Linked DNA regions of Rhinolophus ferrumequinum. The protein of the gene in region 3 interacts with the protein of the main gene of each other region in a biochemical or structural test. Links are inferred from orthologs where the notes say so. Each region holds a gene or a part of one and is shown on either strand. Other genes may lie near its edges. The genes, in order: SYNJ2BP, RALA and RALBP1.

Region 1 (10,423 bases), on a different chromosome or scaffold from region 3:
ACTAACCAATGTCAACCCAATAAATATAAGTTAAAAAAAGCATGGTTCTTTAGATTTTTATTTTAACTGGGTAAATCAAGTGACCCAAGGAAGGGGAAAGACTAAAGGAGATATAGGTTTGGAGACATGGGGATTAAGAATCTATTTTTATGATAATTTAAGAAAATTTTGTCCCATTGCTAGCCAACTTTTGAGATAACAGGTAGACAGCTGGGTTATACGAGACTGATGCTAAGTGAAGAGGTGAGGGCTGGCATATTAATGGCATTTATAGCCATGGGAATAAATTAAATTTCTTGTGAAGAGGGTGTGTGTGTGTGTGTGTGTGTGTGTACCAAGAGTGCCAAAAAAAGTATACACATTTTAAGAACTGTTATCTATGCTCAAGCAGTAGTTTGCCATCATCAGAAATGTCTGGAGGTTGATGGTAACCAATTTGAGCACCTCTTGTAATTGCAGAAGTCAAACGTGACTTGTATTCATCTTTTGTTATCGGTATATATTGAGTATTATAATTAATACAGTTTTTTCCTTTCTTAAAATGTGTATACATTTTTTTTGGCACCGTGTGTGTGTGTGTGTGTGTGTGTGTGTGTGTGTTCAAAAGAATGGAGAGTACCAATTAAAAAGGCTGCTATAAGGTGAGATCATTGTAAATACCTTGCTGGTAATTGCTGTTATCAATAGTTAAGGTCTGGGGGCCGGCCCGGTGGCTCGGGTGGTTGGAGCTCCGTGCTCCTAACTCCGAAGGCTGCCGGTTCGATTCCCACATGGGCCGGTGGGCTCTCGGCCACAAGGTTGCCGGTTCAACTCAAGTCCCGCAAGGGATGGTGGGCGCCGCACCCTGCAACTGGGATTGAGCACGGCATCTTGAGCTGCGCTGCCTCCCGGATGGCTCAGTTGGTTGGAGCGCGTCCTCTCAACCACAAGGTTGCCGGTTCCACTCCCGGAGGGAGTGGTGGGCAACAGCGACTGAACCTGGAGCTGAGCTGCGCCCTCCGCAACTAAGACTGAAAGGACAACAACTTGACTTGAAAAAAGTCCTGGAAGTGCACACTGTTCCCCAATAAAGTCCTGTTCCCCCCCCAATAAAATCTTTAAAAAAAAAAATAGTTAAGGTCTGCAGTGCAATTTTCCCCAAGAACTTGGAAGTTAAAGAAATAATACTGCTATCAGGGTTAAACTGTAAAACCAACTTGTAATAGGCTGGAGCAGATATTCAGTACCATCTTAAAGATATTGAGCAGTTCTAAAGTCTATAAGACTTCACTGTAATCTGTTTTATGGGATAAATTTTGTCCCCACAAAATTCATATGTTAAAGCTCTAACCTTAACAATATAACCATATTTGGAGATACGGTCGTTTTTTAAAAAAAAGTATATTTAATTTTTTTGACAATATTATTTTATATTAATTTCAGTTGTACAGCATAGTGGTTAGACATTTGTATAATTTTGTAATTTAAGAAGTGATCCTCCTGTCTAGCACTCAGCTGACACCATACATAGTTATTACCATATTATTGACTATATTCCCTATGTTTCACTTTACATCCACATGACTGTTTTATAACTACGAATTTGTACTTCTTAATCCCTTCATCTTTTTCACCCTGCCCCCGCAAACCTCCTCCCATCTATCACCCTGATAAATCTGGTACCTATTTGATACCATACATAGTTATTACAATATTATTAACTATATTCCTTATGCTATATCCTACATACCCATGATTACTTTATAACAACAAATTTGTACTGCTTAATCCCTTCCCCTTTTTCAAAGCCCCCCCCCCCCCTTCAACCCTCCTCTCATCTGGCAACCATCAAAATGTTCTCTGTATCTATGAATTTGTTTCTGTTTTGTTTGTTTGTTTATTTTGGTCTTTAGATTCCATATATAAACAAAATCACATTGCATCTGTCTTTCTCTGTCTGACACTCCACTCAGCACAGTACCCTCCATGTCCATCCATGCTGCCGCAGATGGCAAGAACCCATTCCCTTCCATGGTCTAGCGATATTCCATTGTATATATGTACCACCTCCTCTTTACTATTCTTCCATTCACAGACACCCAGGCTGCCTCCACATCTTGGCCATTGTAAACAATGCTGCAATGAAAATATGGATGCACAGGTCCCTTTGAAGTAGCGTTTTGGGTTTCTTCGGAAAAATATTCAGAAGTGGAATTATGGGTCCTTCTTTGTCTCATTATAGTCTTTGTTTTAAAGTCTGTTTTGTCTGGTGTAAGTATTGCTAACCCAGCTATTTTTTTTTTCCCATTTTCATTAAATAATTTTTTCTATCCCTTTACTTTAAGTCTGTGTGTGACTTTCTATCTGAAGTCTCTTGTAGGCAGCATACAAGGGGTTTTGTTTTCTTATCCATTCAGCCACCCTATGTTTTTTTATTAGAGCATTTAATCCATTTACATTGAAAGTAATTGTTGATAGATATGTAGTTGTTGCCATTTTATTATTACTAGTTTTGATTTTTTTTTCCATCTTAAAGAAGTTCCTCTAATAGTCCTTGTAATACTGGTTCAGTGAACTCCTTTAGCTTTTTCTTGTCTGGAAAGCTCTTTATCTGTCCTTCAATTTTAAATGATAGCCTCGCTGGTAGAATAATCTTGGTTGAAGGTCCTTGCTTTTCATCACTTTGAATATTTTGTGCCAATCCTTTCTGGCCTGCTGGCGATAAGGTCTTTAAAGAAGTAAATAAGTTAAAATGAGGTCATTAGGATGAGCCCTAAATCAATACAACTGGTATCTTTATAAGAATAGGAAATCTGGACACAGATCTGTACACACACAGAAGATCGTGTAAACACAGAGGAAAAAGACAGACATCTACATGCCAAGAAGGGAAGCCTGAGAAGAAACCAATACTGCTAATACCTTGATCTTGGACTTCTAGTCTCCAGAACTGTGGGAAAATAAATTTTTATTGTTACGTCACTAAGTGTGTGGTATTTGTTATGGTAGCTCTAACAAACGAATACAATCTGATTAAATGTAATAATACAAAAAATGTGTCAATCACAAAGGGGTTTAATCACCTCATTTAAAAAAATATGCAAGAGTTTGAAAACAAAGAGGTCAGTTATAGGGCAGCAAATTGGAACTAATGCCTATCAAAGGAGAGGTGGTTAAGTCCTAAATACAAACACATCCATGAGTTAGTCATCAAGAGGCTGATAGAATAAAATATTGAAGTAGGAGGGGGTAGAAGCAGACAGGAGATTGGAAAGACAAAGTGAATACATGATATGAAATGTGCAAAAATAGAGCAAGTTATGGGTAAAGTACCTCAAGGTATGAGGCAAAGTTTCCACTAATCTTGTAAATAGGCTGAAGTCACCAAGTTTCATAATTTTTACATATCTCAAGGTCATAAAGCCTTAAATAGAAAGGCTAGTTCAGACAGAAAGTGTCGCTTTGTGTGTCAGAGACTACCAATGGCCTCCCAATATCCGTTCTCATCTTTTAATTTATAATAGCAACCCTGATTTTAATTTTTTTTTTTTAGTTGGCACATTTCCATTCCACTAAAATACATCCTAGGCCTCCCTTATAGTTACATTTAACCATAAGACCAGGCTTCTGGTTAATGAGATATAAGAAGTGCATGAAACTTCCAAGAGGTCTCCATTAAAGTATGGAGTGGACCTTTCTTTGCCCTTTCTTCATTACTTTCTTGGAATGTGAAAATGATGGTTGAAGTTCCCAAACCCATCTTAACCATCTTGGACCATGAAGCAAAGGCCACACTCCAGGGATGGGACTGGGTGGAGACAGAAAGGAAGGAACTTGGACCACGATGACCGAGCAGCCTCAATATCAGGCCTGAACCATCTATTTCCAGAGTTCTTTAATATGAGAGAAACAAACTTCCATCTTAGCATATTGCATATAAAATTAAGTGTATATTTCTGCATACACTTCCTCCACAATCTGTTTTCCTCCACAGTCTGTTTCTAGCCTATTTTTTCAGTGTCATCACCTACCATCCCATTCTGCTTTTTCGCTCATGAACTCTATTTGCTATTCCTTCACTACTCCCATCATTATCCTGATTCCATAATTTTTCTCAATTGTTTTCTCTGAGTGGAAATCCCTATGTCCTGTTTTCTGCTTCTCTAAATATTAAAGTTTCCTCATTCTTAAAAAAACTATACTTACATTAAGATATAAAGGCAATTTACACACCTAATCTGTCACTCCACTTACAGCCAGCATTTCCTGAACTTATTTGGTATCTCTTTTCTTTTTACTGTCCTTTGTGTTTCTGCTGAAGCTGTGTGCCCAGATGAAAAGGGCACTCTCTTCCCAGGTACAGAGTAGTGATTTCCCCCTTAGTAGTCTATAAAAAACTTTTTTCCTCCAAATTTCTTCATTGATGACTTTCTTGATTTTCTTTTCTTATTTCTATTTGATCTCTTCTCTCTTGGTATTCCAATGTCCCTTAGTTATACCTTAGTTTTGTCACTTATCATACTCTGCTTTTCATTATGATCCTGTTATTCACTCATTCAACCAACATATGTTGAGGACGGTTGGGTGTGACAGTAGTAGGAATATGAGTTGGAAGTTGAGATGTAATTTTTAAAATTCCATCTCATTTAATCCTTTCAACAACCTTTTAAAAATCTGTATTATTCCCTTTTTTCAGATGGGGGAACACAGGAGATATTATGTTCCCTGCTCAAAGCCTGACAACTGGAAGAAGATGGAACCAAAACTTGAGATCAGGTCTTCTGACATTACCTCCTGTGTTCTTTCCACTATTCCATATTAACTTCTCTCAGGATTAGCAAATAAGAGGCCTTCCTGAGGAATCTGCCTCTTTCTTGTTTTGTTGCTAAACACAGTAGCTTCTGTTTTGATTATTTAATCTGAATTTGAATTGCATTAATTGGAACTGCACTTTTTGGTCCTCCAAGGTCCCCACTACTTCCTGTGGTCTGTCCAGGTTTCTTCCCACATTTAGATCACCTTCCTGGCCCTTCAAGCTTGTAAATTTTTGACCCTTGACAGTTCCTTAAAGCCCTGTTTTGGAATTCTACCTCAAAAGTCAGGAAGCTGGGTTGAAGTCACAGCTAGTTCATCCACTAGTCTTAAAAAAAAAAAAAAAGGTTGACTTTTCCCTGTTACCAAAATGAAGAGACCTCTCCTCCTTTTCCTTTAAATGATTTGCTTGAGCAAATCTGTAATTATAAATCCTTCCACTGTCCCATTGATATGTCTATAAATATTTTTTTAAAGCTAAACAAGCCTCTAGTCAGGGACAACTCAGGAAAGTTTTTCTCAAAGTCCTGGGAGCCAACTCTTTGAAATGTAACTATCAGGGAAGATATTGTCCCACCTAACTTTACTATAGGAGTTACCCTAGGTGCCATGCTCCAAGCTTTATGTACCTGCTTGTCGTAGAGATAGTTTTATTTTTTTTCTTTGGATAATGTCAAGTAACAGATTGTAACCCCAAGGGCGACTTACCAAAGAATGTATATAGCGAATGGTGTTGTTAACTTCTTACATGAGAATATGCACGTAACAGATTGTTCAGCTTGGCTACATAAAAGGGTGAGAGTTCTGTCTTTGTAATCCCATTAGCGGATTTCCTGAGACACCCAAACCAGGCTGGTTTAATGCTTACTGAGTAATAGAGATTTTTTTCTTCTTTTTTTCTTTTCTTCATTTGTGGAGATTTTCTGAGATGGCAGGAGAGTTTATTTTTAATTTTTCCTCGACAATATCAATTTATTTATGTCTCTTACTTTTACTATCCTTCCTCCCCCCACCCCCAAAGCAAATTAAGAGGGTATCTTGCTCCTCGCTCACTTCTCAGTTCGCTTTGAGGACTGGGTGAGGTAACGCAACGCGTTCCGCGCCAGAACCACGACTCCCAGCATTCCTGACGCTCCCAGCGCTGTCGGCTTCCTCTTCCGGTCCGAGGGCAGCTAAAATCGAAAGTGGTGTGTTTTGGGCGCCGCGCCGAGATTGATTCACCTTCACCTGTGCGAGCCCTAGTTGACCCAGGTGGGAAGCCAGACAGGCAGTAAAACATGAACGGAAGAGTGGATTATTTGGTCACTGAGGAAGAGATTAATCTTACCAGAGGACCCTCAGGTATGTGCGGAACAGGTCATCTTTGGTAGTAGGTACTTGAGGTGTAATTGCAGAGCAAACACCTCTTTTGCTGAGCCAGATTCTTTTGGCTTCGGAGCAGGCAGGCCCCAAGCTAGAGGTTTCCTGCAACGCTTTTGAGCACGTAGAAGAATATATTGGTATCCATCATTAGCCAGACATGGATCTGAGGAATCCACCTCATTTTTGAGTCGGATACCACATGTATTTATGGTCATGACGGGTTTCCTTTTTGCTAAATGGTACCAGAAAATCCTGGGGGAAAGCCTGCTTTTTAGCCAGCATACCGTGAACACCACACCCCTCCTTCCATTGCCTGCTTTATACCTGTTCCTATGAGAGACTGTTTAGTAAAAATGGGAGCATAAATGGTGTGGACTGTAAATACTCAGCCGTTTTCTTGGTGCTTGTATCCCTCGCTCCCCTCTTGTTTGTGGGAAAATGTCAACTAGAATATTAAAGCACGAAGAGGCCTCAGTGATCTATTAGAGCAGTTCCCAAACCTGGTTTTGCCTCAAAATTAGCCAGGGTTTTTGGGTTTGCTTAAAAAAGCACAACAAAACAAAAAACCCCAGCAACTTAATTCCTAGATCCCATCTCTAGGAATTTGGACTCAATGCAGGTGTTTTATGGTTTGGGTTTTTTTTTCTTTTTCTTTTTTTAAACAAGCGCATATGCTCTGGCCTGCCAACAGTTTTCTGTTTCTTGACATGGATAGTGGTTACCTGATTCTGATACGGCCAAATCCTCACTTACCCCTACAGTCCTCTTACCCCTGATTACTCTTCACTCACTCAACATTACTACATGTTAACATCTTAACATTACTACATGCTGCCTGCCTAGAATTTTGTTGCCTTTCCTTTACAGCTCTCTAGGGTATGGATTCAGAGCTTTAGCTTTGAGATTATGTAGGTCCAAATCTGGTACCTAATCTCCTACTAGTTCTTTGACATTTATTCTTTGACCAGTTTTACTGATGTAATTCTTAGTTTTTGGTCTGTAAAATGTGCACGATAGTACAATGCGCATCATAGAGTTAGGAGAACAAAATGAGTTAATCTGTGTAAAACATGCAGAACATTGCCTGACACTTGGTAAGCACTACGTAATTGCTACTTTTGTTATTATTTTTAATAGATGAATGGTTAGATAAACACAGTAAATCCCACTAAATACTGTTATTCCAAGAGTCTCCAATAAGTCATCAAGTACCATGAGCTCTATCTCTGAAATGTTTCTGTAAACCTTCCACTCCTTTCTGTTCCCATCACCCGTACCTGGAACAGTCCATCATCTTTTCTCATATCAAAGATTATTCTCCATAAAATATGGCTTTCAGAATCATCCATGCCTTCTTTCTTGTTATAAAACATTGGAAACTGACTTTATTTATAAGAATATAATTCATTGCTAATCTGCATGGTTTAGTGTCATGCTCCATACGAGCTCCTAAACTTTTGTCAAAAGCTCTTATTCCCGTCTCTTAGATTCATTTTTTTCCCTATTTTATGTAAATTTCTCCTCTCACTTAATTTTTATTGACTTTACAGGCTAATATGGCAAATTATTGTTAAACCAAAATCTGTTTTTCTGTGGTTTTCATCAATTGGTGCTTGTTTTCCTAGGGTCCATTAAGACAATGGGAATACATTTTCTGATTGCCCTGCAAATATATTTAATGGCATCTAGCTGTTCTTCTGTTTTGTCTCTTCCTTCTATAGCCTAAATATGCCTAGTTATTACATTAGCTCTCTTGTGATGTGGTTTGAGGTTTGACTCCTAGGAATTTAATGTACTTTGAGAGAGTCCTTTTGCTGTGGTATCCAGCAGTATTTCCAGGATCTCTTAACTAGAGCAGAGCAGACTCTGATATTATTTGCATGTTCTAGTCACTAAATATTTTTAAAGTTCAGTAGTATCACTTCACCTTTTTTAGTATTTACCTAACAGTGTTGCTTAATGTTCAGCTTACCGTTTGCTAAAATTTCTGATCCTCTTGATCTTGCAGACCTAAAGTTCCTAGTGTTAGCATTTTTCTGAACCACTGGAGTTAGAACAAACCTCAAGGGACTAATTAAGAAAAATAATTATACCTAGCTAATATATTTCACCCAGAAGCAGTTTAATTTCTGGATTGTATGTGCATTTATTCAAAATGAATGAATGGATTTATTCACTGGGTCACTGCTTCAATTTTCCCAATCATGTTCATGTCTTACTCACATAAGTTGATAAACTTGAGTTTAGGAGAGTAGAGCCACAAATTTTGTATTGAACTTGGATTAAAACAGTCATTTGAAGTTTGGTTGGTTCAGTTAACAGGAAAAGATATTAAGTTTCTGTTTATCACCTCACAGCTATTTACCAGGTATGTGGTACTCCTAAGAAGTCTCACAGTCTAATTCAGCTTTTCTTCATTGTGTTATCATGGAGATACACAGAGAAGAAGTCAGTTATCACCACTAGAAACTTCCAGTAATTTTGATAGTCTCATAGAGATCTTTATTTTAATAGAACTATGAAAATCCTCTTGTTCTCAGTATGCATTTCTGTTTGTAGACAGTATTGTCACTGTTTGTCTTTGTACAACTTCCTATGCAGGGACCTGATAGTTTAATCAGGTAACTGCAAGAATGTATATACCTTTGTTTTTTGTGCCAGTGTTGTCAGGGGCAAGAGTGTTGGATATTTCCAGTGTTTGGGCCCATTTTGCAAGGCAAATGAACTATTCTTTCTGATCTTGCTTATTGCAAGGAAAATAATGAAATCTTAGGAAAATTGGGACAATGAAGTGAGTATCTGGGGAGGCAAAAAGAAGCTTGGCATATGCTTTGAATTCTCTCCTGTACCAACTTCCTCAACTGAACAAGGAGAGACTTAGGCCATATGACTTTGGAGGTTTGGTTTTTTTTAACTTCCAAGAATTCAGGATCCTTTGGCACATTTTACATGTTATTTTATGATTCTTGCCATTTTGGTTTAACAGTGGGTGCTCAAATGCCTTCAAGGGTTTGAAGCATATCTTTTATGCTTTATGGAACACTATTTATCTTTTCTTTTTATAGGAGTCCAGCTTGATTATAGTCTCTAAGCCTCCCACTTTTTCTTTTGTCAAATTGAATTCTTAATGTTAGAAAGATTCAGTTACTCTTAAGAAATATGACAAGAATCTAATCTAGCTTTTTTTTCACTGTAGCTGGTAGAGATTGTCCATAAAGACAACGCTACTGTACATTGGGTATTAGAATTAGGATTCCTTGTTCCTGAGGCATCAGTGGATTTTAGCAAGGAGCCTGATATACCAACTTTAAAAAGGAAAGAAAATCTATTTTTCTACTCTATTTAAAGGAGTTTCAGAGAATAAATGGGTTGGTATAATGTTTTAATAATGAATAATTAAGCAAGTATTATCTCTCTGGCACTGTGTTAGTTACGTTATATATGTATTAACTCATTTAATTTTCACAGCAACCCTGAGTGGTAAGTGATTAATCCACATTATTGGAGGAAATCGTCTCTTAGAGAGGTTAAGGATTTGCCAAAGTTCTAAAGCCAGTAAGTTTCAAGAGGCAGGAATTTAACCCAGATTTATTGATTCTACTATTCCATATGCCTCCTCCCATTATAGTAGCCGTATCTAAGAAGTTGACTGACAACCTTTCTGCTGACTTTTATTTTGTTACATTATACCTTATTCCAGGAAGGATTTGGGGCATTTTAAATGACTCACATAATCTGCAGTGGAAAGTTTTTATAGTTTGCTGTTGATAGAGCTGAGGGCATATCAAGGTGAAAACCTAAAAACAAGAAACCCTATTAAGTCCAAGCATTTAAGCCTCTACAGACCTGTCATGGGCTCTATGTTTAACCCTGAGACTGTTGTTAACAGTTTTCTGATCTGTTCCTTCATCTATTAAATAGATCTGAGACTAAAATGCTGTATCCTTGTGCTGTTTTCTCTTAATTACATGAAGTCTAGCCTCCATGGAAATTACGTTCCAATGGAGACATGGCATTCACATGTAAAAAGTTAAATCTCAGTGCAAAGATGCAGATTAAGGTTATAGACTATGACGAGCATGTATGTAGTGGGAGGGCAAAGGAAGTGTGGAGGGGAGTGTGTTAATCTGCCCTTGTGATGGAAAAATTCAAAGAATGGAGCTGTTGATAAGGGCTAGACTAATCGATTACAAGAAGATAGAACATATGTTTGTTTTATAGACAGGCTTTAGGCTAGTGTCAGGAACAGGGATGGATATGGCCTAAGCAG
Region 2 (10,028 bases), on a different chromosome or scaffold from region 3:
TATGGCACCTACTTAAGCCTATCCCTCCAAGGCCTGATGCCAATGAAAATGAAGCAGGAAACTGAGGCAATGGCCTCACTAATTTGTTACAAAACACACAAAAACAAATGCTCTTTACCTGGATGCGCAGAAAAGACGCACACACACTTAAAAGTTTTAGAGGTGATTATATGGGTTTTTTTCCCTTAAATTATTTAATCATTACAATATATTTATTTTCAGCCCTAAAGTATTTTAGATACTTATGCCTGATACCATGAAGGATACAAAGATGAATAAGACTAAGTGCCTGTTTTCAAGGCAGTGAAGATACAGTCATAAACATAAGAAGTTTAAAAATTTTAAGTTTGGCTGAATTTTAGAGATTCTGCAGGCAATTAATCATATGCATATTATAAACCATACTATACATACTCTCGCATAACTGTCATATCAAGCTGGTAACCCTGGTATAAACTACTAGAAGGAACAGTGCATTTGAGTCTCATGATAAGAATTTGAGTTTGACTCTGCTACTTCGTTGTCATGCAGCTGCCTGGCTGTCTGTCCCCTCGTGCCTACCCCTAAAAAAAAAGAAGAGTCTGTGAGACTATTCCTCTCAGGGACATTGCTTCACCTTTATGCCATCTCCTTGTTTGGCCCCAAAGGATGGCTGGCTAGCCAATGACGGGTAAGATTCCTCAAGAAAGGAACAACCTAAGATAGGCACAGTCGTGTGGGGACCACCAGGAGAATTCATGGGGTTGATAGAGGTGGGTATAGACCCCCACCTACCTTCCCCCATCTAAGGAGAGCTTCTGCCTCTGTGGCTTCCCAGGGTATTCCTTCCCACAACCTGCTTGAGAAGTGATTCTAGATGTGATAACATCAGTTCTCCATCTCAGTAGGTTTTCAACATAAAGGTTTTGTCCCCTGGGGAGGTACAAACAATAATTATTTATACATCATGGGACTTTCGGCAGGCAAGGGTGATTGGTTTGAACCAGTTTTCTGGTATGATGTATGAGACTCGCAGACCCTAGAAAAAACAATGCTACTTCCTTGTATGTACATCAATAAAAGCCACAAGGTGGCCGGTTTGGGGCTCTCAGTCCTTTGAGGCTGTGAGATCTTTGGCCCATTTCAAAACTTTCTTGATTTTTGTTTCTTTTTTAACCCTTTGCCACACCTTCTCATTCTCTCACTGCCCATGTTGCAGCTGGACGCTCGACACTACTTGACAATTTGTAGCAAGTCTTTAAGCTCTGTCTCTATTTTTTTTTTTTGAACAATGCTTATCTCACAAAGTAGTGAAAACAAAATGTAATAATACAAATATTAAGGTGTTATAAACAATGCTCATAATTCTAATAATAAAACGTATTTTGAGTTGTTTTTCCTCAATAGTGACAAATTGCTATTAACCAACTACTTTCTTGTCTGGCCTCTAACACACCTCAGAAGTTTTGTTGTTGTTACTACATGTATAGTTAATATACATTCATAATATTTTTATAAATTGATATATGATAAGTACACATATATATACATATTATATAACTACAAATATATTTAAATGTGTTCATATATGCATACACTTTTCAAGAGAAATTCAGAAGCCACCAATCTAATGGGTAAAATTTCATCTATTTTAGGGACAGACAGTGGACAAAAAGGGTCCTACTGAAAGTAACTTCCCCAGGCAATCTGATCAAATCCCTAACTGTGCAGGTCATGGTGGCTAGTCACACCCAGGCATATAACTTCTTTATCTTTGCTCTAAGCAGATGCTGTCCATTATTTTCGTCCACCTAGGTTAATGCACCTTTGAAATAAATGTAACCACCTCAAGAGAGAACATAACCTTAATTCTCCTGTAATCCAGTCCCACCTGCTCTCTCCCACTTTCGTGCAATCTTCCTTACATTCCCTCAATTTCAAATGCATAAAAGAAACTGCAAAGTTGTCAAATCTCTGGAGCATTTGAGATCTTGCTTCCCAATAATTGTCAATTTGGCTCAAATAAAATTTTATAAAATCTTTCTACAGTTTCGGACATTTCTTACATCAACATGACATTGGACAAAACCTCACGGGACTATGTTTTTGTATTTCTGGTTCAACAATGATGGAAATGACAGGAGCTTCACAGGAATGTTCACCTTCATGATGATTCAGACAAACATGTTAACTGCATATAAATTCTTATTATTCTGTAGGGACATGAGTAACACTTTTAACAGAAATTTTCAGTTCAATAACAGCAGCAAATTGTTAAACCTGAAACATGATTCTAACAAAAGCATACCTACCATATACTTCTCCCAAAAGTATTTATTATCTATAAGTAGCAGTGAACTTAAGAATTGTAGTAGTTATTAAAACTTCTCTCCTTTTACATTTTACTCAATCTATCTTTTAAAATACAGGTTTGATCATAGATAAAAATTAAACTTACAAATCAAAAAGAAATCTTAACACAGACTCTTTCATGTTTCTGTTTCAACACCTTTGAGTTGCCCAGGCAGCAAATCTAGGAATGCTCATGAGTTCTACTGATATTAGTGCTAATTATTAACATGCATTTACAATTATGCCCTTCCATCCAAGTACTTCGAAGAGCTTATAAAGCATTAATTTCTTATTATAGTATCTCTGAGAGGCAGGCTGGTACAAAGTTATTATCTCTATCTGAGTCAAAGAAACTAGGTATTAGAGAGGGTAAGTGACTTTGCTATTGTCATACAATGAACAACGAACAAAAAAGGGACTCAAGATCATTGTTCTCATGTCCTGTTCAGTATATTAGTTCAGTATATTATCCATTATATGGTTAATATACCTAAATGTATTTCTATTTTGGGAAAATTGAAAATAATGTATTTGAATAATCTGAAAACTAAAGATATGTTGAGTTCCTCATTTTTCGTGTTCAAAATGCTACAGAATAAAAACTAAGTCTTTGACACTGTAGCTATTATTTATAGGGCTTTTGCTATTTGTGGTTTTCTGAAGTGTCTGCTCAAAATATCCATTCTATTTCTGAATGCTTTAAGACAGATTCGCATGGCTGTGAACAACCAAGACGCAGCTGATAAATGAATTTAAAGTTGTCTTGCATTGTGTTCCCATTGCTTATTTTTGAAGTCATCCTCCTTCCAGTTCTCCATTCAGCAGGTATTTGCAGGACCTACTCACTCCTTCTCAATCCATCTGTGGCCAGCATGTCCACTGTCAATGATTAAATTTTAAAAACCTTTTTATTAGAATTACATTTCATTTTATGAATTTATGATGCTATACTATTTACCACTGTCATATTCAATTCTCTGTAAGCCTAACCTTTATGATCCTTAGACCATTAGCATTTGAATATTAGCCGATGGAGGGGCATATATCACAACATGTGGGTGTTTTTAATGTAATATTTAAGCAATTTTCCTAAGAAAAGGTAGGGAGAAAGGAGAAGTGGTTTTGAAACTGCTCAGTGAAGTGAGACTGCAGTCTGCCTGGATGTGGTAATACAAACCTGGAGTGTTTCTAAATTCAGCCTAGATCCTCTCCAGAACTCTGGATCCATATAACAACTGCCATTAGATAGAACCATTGGTACTTCAAATTCACCAGGTCCAAAATGGCACTCATTTTCTGCACCCCCTCACCCATCCCATTCCAATCTTTCCTTATCTTGTTTGGTAAAATCTATCGTAATCCTCCTCAAAAACCAAAACATGGCATCATTGCCACTCCCCTTCTCTTATCCAGCACCTGACCCCGGCCGTCAATTATCAAAATCAGTTGATTTGGCCTCCTGACTATTTTAGGAATCCATCTTTGGATGCTGGCTGCCACTCACATAATGGTCCTTTTATCCTTTTTCATTTCTGCAATTGCTTGTCTATAAGCTCTCTGCTTGCCGTGCTCCTCCCAGCTAACCTGCCCTCCACCTACAGTTTAAATTGTACAACTATCCTGGGACATTACTCCACTTTAGTCATTGCATCGCCACGGTTGGAAAGATGGTTCTCATGATCTGGCTCCTGACTGCTTCTCCAGCCTCATCTTTTTCAGCAACTCAGGTTTGAACTTTTAAGTTCTGTAATCACCACTCAGATTTCTCAACACACATTATTTGTCCCTGTGCTGCATGGCCTGTCAGGATATGGATTTGCCATCCCATCCCCTATTTTTTGTGCTGGGAAACCCCTATTTATCTTTAAAATCGAACGCAGTTAGTATCATCAATTCTTTCCTCTGTATACGTTATATACCATATTCGCAATCATAATTATATGTTTCCACGTCTGTCTACCCACTAGACTGGACATTCCTTGAATGGGTTGTGCAAAGCACGGGAGTTGGTACCAAATTTGGGGGTGGAGGGAGATGAGAGAATGTCAAGACATAAGGGTCTGTAGCTGCTAACGAATGTTAGGCAAACCACCTATTTCAAATCTGTGAAAGAATTTAAATAAAGCAACCGATTTTGTGGAACTACTTCCAAGTTAAGCTACCAAATCACAGGGTGGGACACCAGAATAAGCTCAACGCCACCCCAGAGCCGCAGTGCCCTAGGGGGATTGAGACCCTCAGAAAAGGCTCGACAACCCGCGGAGGCGAGGTCTCCAGGAACCAGCAGTTAGACGGGAGGCCAGGGGCAGCCACCGAGACCCTCCAGCCAGGGCAGGCGACTGACCAATCCGGTGACCAGCCACATCGCTGGCTCCACTCCAGGAAATCCCGGCCTCAAGACGGAGCGGCCTCCATACTAGGACGCCGCGGGAGAAGGGGCTGTCCCCTAGAAGCAAGATGGCGGCCTTCGGTCTCCCCTTTCTTCCCCCAAGAACTCCCTTTAATCTCCTAGAAGAGAGACAAGGACGTCGCGGCACCGACGCCGAGATCCGGGGACCTCCACGAGGCGGCGGCCACTCCCGGGCCCCTTAGGAGGTGACTTCACTTTGTCGGGCGGAGGCAGCTGTGGTTCAGGCCGCCCGAAAGGCAACGCAACCCGCCCTCAACACGCAGAGGGTGGACACTGGGTAGCCCACGCCCTTCCAGCCATTGTTCTCCAGCCCGAGCCCCCCATACCCTACTCTCTGCCCGAGGACAGGAAGTCCCTCCCCCTGGGGCTCCGCCCCTCTCCCCAGCGTCCCGGAAGTGATCTGCGGCGGCTGCTGCAGAGCCTTGGGGAGGAGGGTGGAACTCCCTCGAGCCGGGCGCCCGAAGTCCTCCTCCTCCTCCTCCTCCTCCTCCTCCTCTTCTTCCTCCTCCTCCTGCCGCCCAGGCTCCGCGCCGCCGCCCGTCGGACTCCTCCTTCTGCCGCTCCCGGCGCGGAGCCTCCCGGAAAACGGCCGAGCACTCTCCGGCCGAGGTCAGCTCAGCCGCGGCTTCCGGAGCCCTGGAGGCGGTGGACTGGTTTGCGGTGCAGGTGAGCGATGCCCGCGCGGGCCGCTGCGGGAGCGGCGGGGGCCACCGAAGGGGCGGCGGCGGGGGTGTGTCCTGGCGGCGGCGGGCGGAGGCCCTTGCTTAGGGCCGGCCGCCGAGATTGCACATCCCGTATTCTGCCCGAAACGAGCTGCAGGACGAGCTGGAATTCCGGGCGCCGTGTTCGCCGCTGTGCGGGCGAGTGCACCCCGGAGGACGGGAGGCTGCGGCGAGGTCCCCGCGCCGGGTACCTGCTCCGAGTTGGCCTGGTTGGAAGGTCACGCCGCACCTCTGGCCCTAGCACGTAGGTCCGGGTCTGGGCGGTGCCCGCGACCTGGGGGACCCGCCGCCACCGTGCTTCACTCCGCCCCTCTCCCCTCGTCCCTTTCTTTCCACTTCTTGCCTGTACTAGAGCAGTCGCTTTTTAAGCATCCCTGCCAAGGTTTTGTGCCAGTTTTGAAGGAATGGTTTTTTCAGAATGAAGTCATTAGATTTTTCGCACTGAACCGAATGGCTGGTCCTGGGCTCTTGCACGGGTTTGGCCCATATTCGCGTAACCCAGCCTTTAAAACGGGGAAAATATAGATGTTTGGAGTGAGGGGGTGTTTCCTCCGTGGTTCCTTCCTGAAGGTGTTCCCGTGGAAGACGTGGTTTGTACGCGTTAGCCTGGGTATATGTGGTAAGTGGGCGGGGGTGACCACGCAGTGTTGTTTCAAGGTTTAGAGAGAAGTAAGGAGTTAACTGGCCTTTGCCCGGAAACCAGAATGTCCAGACTTGTGTGAGCTCATCCAAGTGTCATTGAGGTTGTGTGAGAACTCCAGTGCCACGCCCTACTGGTGTGTCAAGCTGAAAAGCACCTAATTTACAAATTGTGTTTGATGGTGGTGGTGGTAGGGGAAACCTTTATAAAACAGGGCGTAAGTTAATTCTGGTCTTGAAAGTAAATTGCAACTTTAATCACGTTCCCAAAAAAATTGGATAACAAATTTCATTAGTAAACTCACTGTAGAAGGCATTTCTTTTAGCTTATGTTTACTAATACATTTAAATGTATATTGGTTTATGTTTTTCTGTGTATTAATCCATTATTATTATATAATGACTGTGGCTCTAAAAACATTATTTTTAGACGTTGAATTTCTTCAGGGCAGAAGCCATGTCTTATTCATCTCTGTGTTTCCATGATACCTGGCTTAGAACACAGAAGTTATTCATTCTTTCTTCACTGAATGAATGAATGTGTAGGTGATCTCACAGTTGCCTTCCTGGAGTCATTTATTTTGGGTTAGGTGTTTTGTTTGTTTGTTTTTGTTCCAGTTTGTTGATACATACAGACTTTGTGTTCTTTAGCACGGCCAAAGAACAATTCGAGAAGAATCCTTTGCTGTTCTCTCAAAATACTGTCCTCACCTGAAAGATTAAAATTATCTGTAGGGTACTGTGATTGGGGATCATAATAACTTGTATTCCATTGTTCAATGTTTACCACTTGAGCATGTTTGTCCAAGGTTATCAGGAGATTTTCTGGTGATAGTAGATTTAAGTTTGGAGTTGATAACCATACCCTATCTTAATCAAAAAGAGGAAATTGGGAGTTACCGCTGTTTGGGAAATGTGGTGCATCACAGAATTGCTTATGGGGCTCATTCTCCCCCTGGATACATGAAATCCTCTGACGTCCTGATACGCCCTTGGCATGATTTACCCACCAACAGCACTTTCACATTTCTTTTCAGAGATTCAGGTGCTGTTCTCTGGTGTGTCTGCTGAGTATGCAGTCATCTGTATCATCTATTTTGAAGCAGTTCTTCATACAACACTGTCTTCGCAGGGCTTTCAGGGGAAAAAGGGCTCATTATACGGAATGATCTTGTCTGCTATTGTGTGGGAGATGGTTTTTGACTGTAGATGGTTGGGTTATTTTCACTTAATGGAGGTCCAAATAAAAAAGTGCAGCGCTTATATCTTCTTTCCTTTCCAAATGTCAGGTGGTGGTCCTGCACTGGTTTTGCAAGCTCAGCTTCTACAAAGCGTAAATAAGTGTACCAGTATCACTTCTTGTATATGTGTGTGTTAGTGTATATATACTTGGAACCTTTACGTAGATGGGTGGCAAAGACAGTCACTTTAAAAATACTTTAATAAGAGGCTGCTAATGAGGAAAAAGATTATCATTTAGAAGAAGTAGGGAGACAGTGCATGGTTTCCATTGTTTTATAAAATGTTTTCATTCTTAGACACTAAGGAGAGGGAAGCCTGCAATTTATCTCATTGACATTACCATCAACCCTCCTGATAGTAACAGTTAACGACTTCTGAGGGCATTGGTATTGCATTTAATCCTAAAAGGCTGAGGAAAACGAGATTTTGATTGATCTGAGCTTGAGGAAAGTGAAGATACTGATCTCAGCACTGTTGATTATCAAGTGGGGCCTGAGGTTACTAGTGACCCTGGCCAGGTGGCCTCAGGCAGTAGCCAGTCTTCTGTTTATCTCCAGTGTGCCTACAAATACAGCGTTATCACCTTCTATGGCTGCTGTGATTAAAAAAAAAAAAAAAAAAAAAAAGGTTGTGCATTGTTCCTGTAAGTGTCCTGGAAAAGCAGAGTATTAGGAACTCATCTCTGGTATTTGATGACTGCTTTTTGCCTCTGACGTATTTGAGATTTGAGAGAACTATTGGAAACCTAGTTGTTCCTGAAACCATGTTGTTTTTCCTTTCTTTCACTAAAGGAGGCAGTGGAGGGAGAGGTTGTAGGGAAGTGGAAGCATGGTAAAAGAAGCAAAGATGTACTGGGTTTGTTTTTACTATTTCAGACCATGTATCATTTTCTCTTTGAATTTAATATGGAGTCTTAAAGAGGGCAGAACTCTTGTAAGGGTCTAATTGCTATTCAGTGCTAGAAGAATTCTCTGCACTATTCAAGTCTGTGCAGTTTTGTTTTGTTTTGTTTTTTTTAATGCATTTTTTTTTAATTGGGGTAGGGGAACAGGACTTTATTGGGGAACAGTGTATACTTCCAGGCCTTTTTTCCCAAGTCAAGTTGTTGTCCTTTCAGTCTTAGTTGTGGAGGGTGCAGCCCAGCTCCAGGTCCAGTTGCCGTTGCTAGTTGCAGGGGGCACAGCCCACCATCCCTTGCGGGAGTTGAAGCAGCAACTTTGTGGTTGAGAGGAGGCGCTCCAACCAACTGAGCCATCTGGGAGCTCAGCGGCAGCTCAGCTCAAGGTGCTGTGTTCAATCTTAGTTGCAGGGGGCGCTGCCCACCATCCCTTGCAGGAGTTGAGGAGTCGAACTGGCGACCTTGTGGTTGAGAGCCCACTGGCCCATGTGGGAATCGAACCGGCAGCCTTCCGAGTTAGGAGCACGGAGCTCTAACCGCCTGAGCCACCGGGCCGGCCCTTTAATGCATTTTTAAATGGGCTTAATTTGAAGGATGTGTTCATCTCTTAGTTTTAAAAAAGTATATAGCTACGTAAAAAACATAGCTTTAAAAAAACGCAGCTCATTATCTAGCCTTCATTAGTAACAGTTATTCTTTGTTTTTCTCTTTAGTTCTAAGACACCTTTCTTATTATTTTACTCGTAAGGATTTGGTTATAATATAGAAGAAATTAAGGTAAAGCTCTGAGTTTGTAAAAGATTTGTGAACAAATTTTAGAAAATTACGCCTGAACGTGAAGACTTCATTCCTCAATGTTAAGAAGGTAGTCTGTACAAGCCAAAACAAGCTTCCGTAAATTATTATGATGCTATTCTTAAACAGCTAGTCCTGGATGAGATGCAGTAGACATAATGCTTGATACAGTAATCTCTTTGAAGTGTACGATCCAATTTCATTGCTGAATTCACTTATGGAAACTAAATATCAGGGTTTGACAGTGTCGTCTTGAAGAATAAAACAGCAGGATTGTGAAATGACTTCTACTCCCAGATGCATTGGTTGGGGCACAGATCCCTGGTTTTCACAAAAATCATAATTCTGGTCGTCTCAGCCACAGGATCTCTTCTGCTTCCTCAAGCAGTTGAGTAGCTAGCAGAGTAACCTAACCCATTGAAATTGGAGGTTGCTACACCACTGAGTGGTCGCAAGTGCTTCAGTTCAGCTGCACTGTCTAGGTCTGCTCTGGATTGCTGCAGCAGCTGGTTAACCTCTGGTTGGCTCTCCTCCTCCCATCTTTCTCCACACTTGGTTAGAGCAGGCGTGATCCCCCCCTACTTAAAACCCTTTTGCAGCTCCTTCTTGCTCATTAATAACAACCAAATTCCTTTTACTCTTAATCTCATAGACAGAATCTTCAAGATCTTCTCCTTCCTTAACCCAGTAGCCTCATGTCTTTTCTTCCAGTATATTCCATTCCAGCAATACCAAGCTTCTGGAATGCTAGCATTTCCTCAGTCCCCCGTTTCGTCTTCCTGGACTTTTAGCCACTCCTTTGCCCAGTCTAGTATGCTCCTACTGGTCCTTCAGAACTCAGCTTAGGTTATACCTCTCCAAAAATTGTATCTAGATTGGATTCTTTCTCTCAACCCCATCCCTCAAATAACCCTGAAAACAAAAAACAACCAAGACTGGGCTGCTCTTATGTGTTGCCATAAAATCTATCACAGCGTTTACTATACTGTGC
Region 3 (10,325 bases):
TTGCTTTTAACTCATTGATTTTTATTCTGATCTTCACTATTTCATTACTTCATCTTAACTTAGGTTTGATTCACTCCTCTTTTGCTACCTTCTTGAGGTGGAAGCTTATTGTCTTCCTTCTAATATAAGCATTTGATACAATTATTTTCCCTTTGAGTATAGCTTTAGCTGCTTTCCTTAAATTTGATATGTTGTATAGTTACCATGCTAAGGTCTGGTTGCCTGCCGCTTGAAAAAGTTAAAAATCGAAAGACAACGTTGGTGGAAAGAAAAGCAGCTTTATTCAGAATGCCAGCGTACTGGGAGGATGGTGGACTCCTGTCTAAAGTACATCTCCTTGTTCCTAGAATGGTCAGAAGGTTTGATAGGTACACAAGAAGAAGTAGAACAAAGGAAAGGGGAGTTAGTCATGTGACTCTTCTGGTAGAACATCTCCTGGGGTCCGGTTTGTTTTGCGATGGTTATCTCGAACCCGGTCTTATGGGTGATTCATATATCATCTTACAGAGAATAACAGTCAAGAATTGTAGCTTGGTTGCCGGTGTCTGGAAGGCTGAGGGCTGACTCAGTCTATTGCAAGTTAGTGTTCTGCTGATTAGGTAGATTAACAAGGTATACATCTAGCCTTAGGAAAGCAGAGCAATTGAATCGGGCAGTGAGGGGGAGAAACAAAGAGAAAACAGCAGAATATCAGGGTGGATCAATCTGCAAACTAGCTAAGTCTAACTATGTGATTGATTTTCAGAGTTTTACCCTTACAGTATTTTTGTTTTCATTCGGTTTCAGGTATTTTCTAATTTTCTTGTGCTTTCTTTTTGGCCGATGGGTTATTTAATTTCCAAATACTTGGGGAATTTCTCAGATTTCTTTCTGTTGTTGATTTCCAATTTAATGCCATTGTGGAAGGAAAACATACTTTGCATGTTTTCAATCCTTTTAAAATTTATAGACTTGTTTTGTGGCCTACCATATGATCTATCCTGGACAATGTTTCATTTGAAAAGAATGTGCATTCTGCTGTTGTTAGATGGAGTTTTCTATTTATGTCACATACTTCAAGTTGGTTGATAGATTTTTAATATCCTTAGTGATTTTCTGTCTTATTCTATCACTTACTGAGAGAGGAATTTAAAACCTCCACCAATAACTGAATTGTCAATTTCTCCTTTCAATTCTCATGACTTTTGTTTTACATGAGTTAGAACTTCTTTCCTTTTAAAGGCTAAATAATATTCCACTCTATGTGTATACCACATTTTATGTACCCATCAGTGGACACCAGGGTTGCCTCTACCTGTTGATTATTGCAAATAATGCTACTACAAATGTGAATATGCAAATATCTCTTTGGGTCCCTGATTTCAATTACTTTGGGTACATACTCAGAAGTGGAATTGTTGGATCAAATAGTAATTCTGTATTTAATATTTTGAGGAAAAACAGTACTGTCTTTCACAGCAGATGCACCATTTTATACTCCCTCCAGCTGGCAAAGCCATGGGTTTTTTTTTTACCTCCCACCACAAATCTAGTCGGTCTTCTCTGGCAGCAAAGCTGCTTGTTTTCTTGGCTAGCGCTACCCACTGATAAAACTACAGTTCTGGACGACAGGGCAGTAAAAAAGCAGTCTCAGGCAGAAGGTCATAGACATCTATTGTTCCTCCTAGAATTTCTAGAAGTTTTTCAAGAACAGATGTTTCTCAAATTGTTGTCTATTATTAATAGTCTAGTGCCCTGAAATGGTTGTTTTAGACAATTTTGTCCAGTATTATACCTGTTTTGTGTGCAGAGGAATTGTTGACCATATCACATAGCCATAACTGAAAGTCTCTTCCAGTTTCTTTTTAAGTAGGAACTTGTATTAGTCATGACATTTAAATATCATATAAAAGAAATCCAACTGAATTAGTTAGAACTTTTAGAATTTTGAGTCACAGAAAACACCCAATACAAACTGGATTAAACAGTGCAGGACATTTATGGCTCACAATTCTACGTAGTGTATAGGTTAGTCTATAGGTCAAACAGGTGAGATTTGATAGTGCAGCTCTAATGATGCCACCAAACACAAGGTTCCTCTCCTTTCCAGCACTCATTTGACAGTATTGACTTCATCTTTAGTCTCTACAGGTGCCTCTCCCCTGAACCCTATCCCTTTAGGCTTTCCTCTTGAAGAAACAAAATAGTTGCTACATTTTCAGACTTCATATACTTACACCATACCAGAAGAGGAAGTGTGCTGCAGTTTACTAGAAGTCCCAGCTCAAGTCTCTGGGGGGCTCATTGGTTCTGATTGGGTTGTGTGATCATCTTTGTAACTCTCAGCCACTAGAGGGAATGGTTATGTTACATGACTTAAACGGGAGGAACAAATGCTCAGGAGGCAACCAACAAATATATTCTATAACTATACAAATTAGCCCTAAATAATAATAAATAAATGCATTGGCTCACCTAGCTAGGCTCACACACTCAAAGCACTTAAAGAAGAGTCATACAAAAATCATGGCCTCTGAAACTGAAACTATAGTCTTCATGCTGCCAGCTCTTTGTGTCTCTCCCTTTCCATCCCCCACCTCTGGGCCTCATCCCTTCCTACTTCAGACAGGCTTCTTAGTGTTGTGAAGAACATGGCCAGCTGCAGTTACTTCGGTAAAAAGCTTCTTCCCCTCTCATCCCTATCCGTCTAGCAATTTCAAGCAAGGGCTCAGAAATGCACCAACTTGAGTCAGTGTCTATCTTTTGGCCCGATCAGTGTTGCCCGAGGCAGAGTAACTATCATGATGACATGCCCGTCTGAGTAGTCAGAGGACATTGTTTTGTTGCCAAAAGGGCAATAAAAAAAACTTCAAGCAATCAGAAAACAGTGGTTACCACAGACCATCTTGGTATCCAATTGTGGGAGGCTCTTGAATGTCAAGCTCAGTGGCTGAACTTTATGAGGTAGGAAATGCAGAGTGCAACGGAGAGAGAGATCTACTGTCAGTTTTGTGAGAAGCTGATCTGGGAGGTATAGTGCAGGATGGCTTACAGAGGTCAATCTAAATACGCAATGAAGTTCTAAAGAGCATTGCATGTAGGAATGGAAGGGTTTGGGAAGGACCAACGATCCCAATCGTATTTCCCCTAATAAGTTGCTAAATTTTATAAAACAAGAACACTTCAAAAGACCTCTGATTTCCAGCCATGCATTAATAGAACAATTCTTCAAGCCTTTTGTGGGGACAGAGCCCCAAAAAGCAGTTTCCAGGCTCTCGGCCTCACATAGAAAGGTGCTGGCTCAGGTAGTAAATGGCCATCGACTGTGATCAAATGGCCATCAGCTGTGGCTAGTTGGCCGTCAGCTGTAACCAGTGAGCCATTGGGCACTAATATAACTGCCGTGGCTAGGCTAGCAAAAAATGGGGGCTAGCAAGATGGTGGCTGGGCTAGCAAGAGCGGATTGCAGAGAGGTGGATGCCGCCAGTGAGAATATAGTGGTATGACTCCCCTACCTATGGCTCTGTGGGTGTTCCTTTTTCTCACCATGTCCTGCATTCTTATGTGGGGAGCGAGACCAGAGACCCCGCAGGCCGCCCCGCATGACACATGGCGTAGTCGGCAGGATCCCCTGCACGACAAATGGCGCAGTGAGCAGGGTACGGTGCCGGCCAAAGCTCTCCGAAGGGCGGTGGAGCAGTTTGTGCATATGAACACTCAGTCTTAGGAAGACCAGTAGGAGCTGCTGCCGGGGAGAGCTCGACCCCCGTGGAGGGGTGGAAAGACGTGGACGGTTCCCCAACCAGCAGAGGCCGGAGAAAGCAAAGGTCCTTGCAGCCCTGTGGTCTGGGAAGTTCTTGCTGAGGCAGCCCAGACACGGGACTTGTCCCAGGAGGAAAGGCTTGCTGAGTCCTCCGTGGGAGATGTGGGTGAGGTCAAGGTCATCCCTCACCCCCAGGACAGCCCTGGCGAATGACTGTGGACTGTGGGGAATTGCCTTCCATCCCTAATTTAATGGACCACTTGACTGTTTGGGAACATACCACCATGTAGTGGTACTGGCGGATATTTGCTTTTGTGTCTTGACCGGCCGCCATCAAGAATATGTAAGCACCTTGACTGTGAGTCGCTGTTGTTCCACCATGGTACCAAGAGGCCCAGAGAGAGTGGCAATGCCCTGAGAGCCCTGGCTGAGTCCAGGAGGTCTGGCTGTGCCCAGAGAGAGTGGCAGTGCCCTGAGAGCCCTGGCTGAGTCGAAGTCTGGCTGTGTCCAGAGAGAGTGGCAGTGCCCTGAGAGCCCTGGCTGTGCCCAGGGAGACTAGTGGTACCCTAAGAAGTCCAGGAAGTCTGGCTGTGCCCAGAAGTACTGGTGGTACCCTGAGAAACCCTGGCTGTGCCCAGAGAGCCTGGCTGTGTCCAGGAAATAGCATTCACCTCCAGGCTCCTCGCACAGGGCCCCTCACGAAAGACGCTTGTCGCGTAGATTGTGAGGCGAGACCCCGTAGGGGTGGAGTGTGGGGATAGAGCCCCAAAAAGCAGTTTCCAGGCTCTCGGCCTCACATGGAAAGGTGCTGGCTCAGGTAGTAAATGGCCATCGACTGTGATCAAATGGCCATCAGCTGTGGCTAGTTGGCTGTCAGCTGTAACCAGTGAGCCATTGGGCACTAATATAACTGCCGTGGCTACACTAGTAAAAAATGGGGGCTAGCAAGAAGATGGTGGCTGAGCTAGCAAGAGTGGATTGCAGAGAGGCGGATGCCGCCAATGAGAATATAGTAGTATGACTCCCCTACCGATGGCTCCGTGGGTGTTCCTTTTTGGCCTCACCATGTCCTGCATTCTTATGTGGGGAGCGGGACCAGAGACCCCACAGGCCGCCCCGCACGACCCCTTTGTGCAGGATTTCCTCCAGAAACCCAGTTGTTTCCAGTCTTCCTCATGGCTCAGTTCTAGTTGCAAGCTAACCATGCTCTGGGCGGTTCTAATTCAGATGTTCCTTTGTAAATGTTGAACCAAAAAGGGCGATGGAAGACAGCAGTCCTGCTGTTACACAAGAACCAAGGACTATTCCTTTTTCAGCACCCACTTTGGGAATTCTGAAGAAGGTCCCGACAGTTTTATGTAAATCTCTCCTTAAAGACCCACAGCGCTTGCTTTAACAACCTCCCTCTCCCTCCAGTGCAGGAGTCCCCACCCCAAGCAAAAGATGCCCCACCCAGCCCAAGGCCGGGAAGATGTCCCACCCAGCCGCAGGCTGGGCCGGCCTCCTAGGCTGGTTTAACTGGTTAGGACAACAGAAGCCCGCTGGCACAAAAGGTCTGAACTTCAGTAGCTGAGGAACAGGCTTGCCACAGCATGGAGACGAAAGGTATTTCCTTTTTCAAGATCACCACAGGTAGCGCCCCCAAACCACCTACGCGGACAGTATTTGCTTGGGGTAGGTGTATGTCCCACCCAGTCCCCCAAGACCAGGAACTGCGCAGGCTCCCACAGAGCGCTAGCGCGGCGCGTTCTCTCGCGCTCCCTCAGTCTCCTCAGCGAGCTACTGGGCCGAAGGAGGCGCGGTTCTTCCTGGGTGTTGTAGTATACTTCCTCGACGAAGTGCCCTCCTGTAGGTTGGGCGCTTGGGTTTTCGAGAACTACGCCTCCCAGTGTGCCCCGCGCGACGGCACAGGGCGTTTACCCTCGTCGGCCTTAGCCGTCAACGCACAGAAGAGGACCCGGGAAGCCGGCTGCGGCGGGAGGAGGGAATGCGCTTGCGCGCTGGGCCGGCTCGTCTTGTTCTGTCCCAATCATTGTAAACAGGCGGAGGCTGGGGCGGGTTGGGAATGGGGCTCCCAAGGCCGGTCTGGGGCGCAGCGCAGGAGGCGGCTACGGTGGCTGCGGTGGCAGCGTGAACGCGAGGAGGAGGTGGCTGTGGCGGGGGCGGCCGGTCGCGCGGCGGCGGGCTCAGGTTGGTAGCGGTCAGCGGTGGCGTGCGGGGTCGCAGCCTTGCCAGTCGCGTGTCCGGAGAGCCCTCTCCGCAGCCGCGTCTGTATCTGGCAGCGTGCTGGGCTGGGCGCTAGCCGCACGCCGGGCTGGAGTTGGGGGTGGGGGGCGTGGCTGCCCCACTGCGGGTTCATAGCCCGCAGGCTTCTCTTCAGTTCTCGCCCCCTTCGCTGTGCGTTCCTCCCACTTGCCAGCCGGGCCTCCCTCATGGCAGCCGCATTTGTGATTTGGTGCTCCTGGGGTCGGGAGGAGGGGAGTCAGGAACAGAACCCCTCCCTCCTTGGGGTTCCAGGCCTCAGGGCAGTTCTGGGGCACACCGGAACGGAGGAGAGGACTGTCTTTTATATAACCGCTATTTTCTAATCGCATCCGGAATATTGACCCGTCTCTAGTGCTTGCCCAGTGGACTAGGAACACGCTTTTGATGTTTCCCACCGCTGGCATGGAAGCAGTGGGGCTCCTTTGGGTGCTGCGGTCCTTAGTTCAGGTTTCAGTGGGAATGGACGGACAGTCTGGGGTTCAGAATTCCTTTCACAGCGCACTTTCAAGTATGCTTGTACCAAAATGCTGTTATTGAGGTCAGCTTTTTTTTTTTTTTTTTAAATCGTTGTGTGAGTGAAACAGGTTTTGCAAAATATTTCACATCTCAGTCTTATCTAAAGTGATCATGCTGTTTCAAGTTTGGGGATTCATTACTACAGAGCCTCCCTCTTGAGCAAGCATCAGGATTCCCGTAGGGCCTAAAAGAGTTCTAGATAATAATTAAAATGTTAACTCGAGATAGTTTGAATGTGCGTGTCAAAGAAGTACAGTCGTTTGGACGTTGAGTTAACACACCATCTAGCCTCATTAGAAAAGTTATCACTGAATTTTTTGTTTAGTGGAGTGGTCATGTTCAAATGCTGGAGCACTTTGAGTAGCATTCCGTCATACTTGGCAGCTATTCACAAAATATTTAAGTGGTGATAAGCAACAGGCCCACTTTTGGTTTGGTGGTCACGGAGGCAGCACTTTTAAATGGGACTGTGAATGAGAAAGGTAACCTCACTTTCTGCCTTTGGAGTTATTTTGGTGATTTGATTATTACTTTCTGAGTATCTTGCTGAAGATGAGTAATTGCCATAAGCTGTATTGGCAGTAGTAGATGTAGGAAGGAAGTAGAGTGGTTCCCACTTTTCATAAGTGACCCATAAATTTATGTAGGGTAGGTTAGTTTAACAGTAACAGTTGAGAATTCTTTAAACAAAGTACCTTCAAGCAATGTGACATAACTTAAATGCTATCTCTTCAGAATAGTATTTCTCATTTTAGATCTGGGAGGGACCATTTCTCCCCTCATTTAGAAAAACAGAAGTGGTATAAAAAAAACACATATTAACTTTAATTTCTATTTGCACAGTTGTATGCTTGACCAGGAGAGGTTGGGTCCCGAACGTAACCCAAAAGTATGTTCTTTCTTTTCTGAAAGAAAAATTCCAAGAGAAACTTATGTTAGTTTACAAGGAGACAATAAAGAAAAATGCAGGTCATTTAGTGTAGAGGAATTACTTGTAGCAGGTACTGTGCCAGGAGATGAGGACTTACAAATGGATAAGGCAGTAGCCTGCCTTCAGGGTGGTAAGACTTTATCTCTTACTTGAAATGTCAACAAGTACAATATGTTTTTAAGATTGCTTTGATTGGAGAAAGTATGCGGATACAGTGGGTGTAGAAATGAGGAAGTGGTCAGTTTCTTAAGGAAGAGAAGGAGAGACTGAGGAAGGGGCAGTAGTAAGGAGACAGCGTGTAGAGGAGGGGATGAAAACAACAGGTATACATGCATAGAAAGGTGGCCATTTAGGTAGAAGGAACAGTGCCAGCAAAAGCACAGGAGTCTAAACTTACACAATGAGTTGTAGGATCCGCAGGTGTAACCAGCAAGAATGTAGGGTGGTGGCAAGACATGAAACTGGGGAGGTAGGCAGAGACCAAATTATGGATAGTCTTGTATACAGTAGAAGTAATTTCAGCTTTACCTTGTAAGCACATAGGAGTCATTGAGACTGGATAAACAAGAGAGGCCTAAGCCAGCCCCATCCATTTCCACTCCCTGATGTGTTAAGTATTATATCAGGTGCTTTATAGTCTATGTCCTTTAACTTAAGGAAGGCTTAGGCATGACTGAGGAAGAAAATGGGGAGAAAGCAACTTAAGGCAGAGGGAAAGTGGGACATAATTAGAGAGAGCATGGTACACTTTTAAGAATGGGAAGCTCTCCACAGCTATAGCGTTGAGTTAATTATAAATACTGGGATTATGGTAAGTAGCAGAAGATGAGGCTGCGCAGATAGATCCTTCAAATGTTGCATGCTATTCTAAGGATGGTAGACGTTTTTTCCTGTAGATAATAATAGAATATATGAATTTTAATCAGGAAAGAGTCATAATAAGGTTTATTTTAGAAAGGTCATTCTGCTATTGTATAGATTTCAGAAGAGATAGAGGAACAATAAGGCAGGATGCAGAAAGACTGCTTAGGAGTTTTTGTAATACTTGAGGTGACAGATAAGGGCCTAAACAAAGGTAGTGTCAGTGGAGATACAGAGGATTAGGTTAATAACACAAATATTTAGAAGGTAGAAGTCATAGGATTCAGTAACAATTGGATTTGGGGAGTGAGAAATAGTAGGGTAAAATGACTTGGATTTTCATTTGGGTGATTGAATAAACAATAGTAATGGAATAAACAATGAGATGGAATTCTGGAAGAGGTCCATATTTGGGGAGGAATAGTATTTTAGCTTTTGGATATACGGAGTGGAAGTTTTTCTGTAAAACATCCAGGTGGAAACATCTGCAGAGTTGTGTATGTGGGTTTGGAGTACAAGAGAGAGGTCTTGATAACAGTCATCAGGCTGTATATTATTGCAGGTGGTAGCTGAACCCTTTGATTTACGTGAACTAGGAAGAGTTTACTGATGGAGAGTAGTTCTGGAAATAGGACATGGAGAACAACATTGAGAGCCAGATAGAGGAAGAACTGGAAAAGGAAATTTCCTGTTTCGAGATGCAGAGAAATCATGACAAAAATGTAGAATCCCAAATGGGATTGTTTGAAAAGGAAGCTATATTTCATAACTGACTCCAGAAAAAAATAAAAATTAAAAAAAGGAAGCTATACTTCAAATGCTTTGAGAATTTGAGTAAAGCAAGGATTAAGAATATTGAATTTGATAACTGAGAAACTTTGTGGCATTCTACTTAATGCTAACAATGGAAAGAAGCTACCTTTCATTGAATTGAGGAGTAATTTGGTGGTCAGAGAAAGGAGAAAGCAAATGAAGATTACTTCAAGAATAAACAAGTCTTAGTTATAAAAGGAAGAGTAGGAGGTGTTAGCAGAGGGGATGAAGGGTTAAGGGAGGGATTTTTAACAGGCAAGATTGGAGTCTGCTTTCTTCTTAAAACACCTTTATTGAGATACAATTCATATAACATAAAGTTTACCCTTTTCAAGTGTACAGTTCAGTGGTTTTTAGTATATTCGGAGTTGAGCAGCCATCTCCACAATCAATTTTAGTACATTTCCATTACTCCAAAAGAGAAACTTCTTTCTCATTATCAGTCACTCACCATCCCCCCTGTTCTCACCCACTAACAACTACTAATTTACTTTCTGTCTCTGTGGAGTTACCTATTTTGAACATATAAATGGAATCACATACGTGATCATTTGTGACTGACTGACTTAGCATGTTTTCAAGATTCATTGATATTGTAGCATATATCAGGACTTAATTCCTTTTTATTGCTGAATAATATTCTGTTGTCTGATTATACCACATTTTATTTCCCCATCAGTTGAAGAACATTTAGTTGTTTCTACTTTTTGACTGTTAGGAATAATGTAAGTTTTGACTGTTAGGAAATGCAAGTTTTGGCTGTTAGGAAAATTTGCAAGTTTTTGTGTGGATATATGTTTTCATTGCCCTTGGATATATATCTAGGCGTGGAATTGCTGGATCATATGGTAACTCTTATGTTTAATGTTTTGAGGAACTATCAGACTGTTTCCCAAATGAGCTGAACCATTTCACTATTCTGTGTAAGGATTGTAATTTCGGTGTAAGGACTGTAATTTCTCCACATCCTCACCAACACTTGTTATTTTCTGTTTTGGGTTTTTTTTAACTTTTAATTTTTTTTTTATTTTAGCTATCCTAATGGGTGAGTTGGTATCTCATTGTGGGTTTGATTTGCATTTGCTGGTGGCCAGCGCTAAACATCCTTCAACATCATGAGGATCAGCTTTTCCCATTTCTTCAAAAAAAAGCTGTTGAAATTTTGATAGGGTTTATATTGAATCTATAGATCACTTT

Evidence for each region.
Region 1: the proteins of RALBP1 (region 3) and SYNJ2BP form a complex in vitro, tested with the Homo sapiens proteins (2 studies listed by BioGRID and IntAct, with this or other methods). The link is inferred for Rhinolophus ferrumequinum from reciprocal best matches to the Homo sapiens genes RALBP1 and SYNJ2BP.
Region 2: the proteins of RALBP1 (region 3) and RALA form a complex in vitro, tested with the Homo sapiens proteins (3 studies listed by BioGRID). The link is inferred for Rhinolophus ferrumequinum from reciprocal best matches to the Homo sapiens genes RALBP1 and RALA.

The regions. Positions count from the first base shown.
Region 1 is NC_046289.1:26,977,521-26,987,943, forward strand, and holds the start of SYNJ2BP (synaptojanin-2-binding protein), read left to right. Parts: upstream 1-5,946; 5' UTR 5,947-6,068; coding exon 6,069-6,132; intron 6,133-10,423. UniProt on the Homo sapiens protein: Regulates endocytosis of activin type 2 receptor kinases through the Ral/RALBP1-dependent pathway and may be involved in suppression of activin-induced signal transduction.
Region 2 is NC_046303.1:53,322,875-53,332,902, forward strand, and holds the start of RALA (ras-related protein Ral-A), read left to right. Parts: upstream 1-5,136; 5' UTR 5,137-5,407; intron 5,408-5,533; exon of another isoform or gene 5,534-5,707; intron 5,708-10,028. UniProt on the Homo sapiens protein: Multifunctional GTPase involved in a variety of cellular processes including gene expression, cell migration, cell proliferation, oncogenic transformation and membrane trafficking.
Region 3 is NC_046302.1:8,542,505-8,552,829, reverse strand, and holds the start of RALBP1 (ralA-binding protein 1), read left to right. Parts: upstream 1-5,756; 5' UTR 5,757-5,932; intron 5,933-10,325. UniProt on the Homo sapiens protein: Multifunctional protein that functions as a downstream effector of RALA and RALB. As a GTPase-activating protein/GAP can inactivate CDC42 and RAC1 by stimulating their GTPase activity.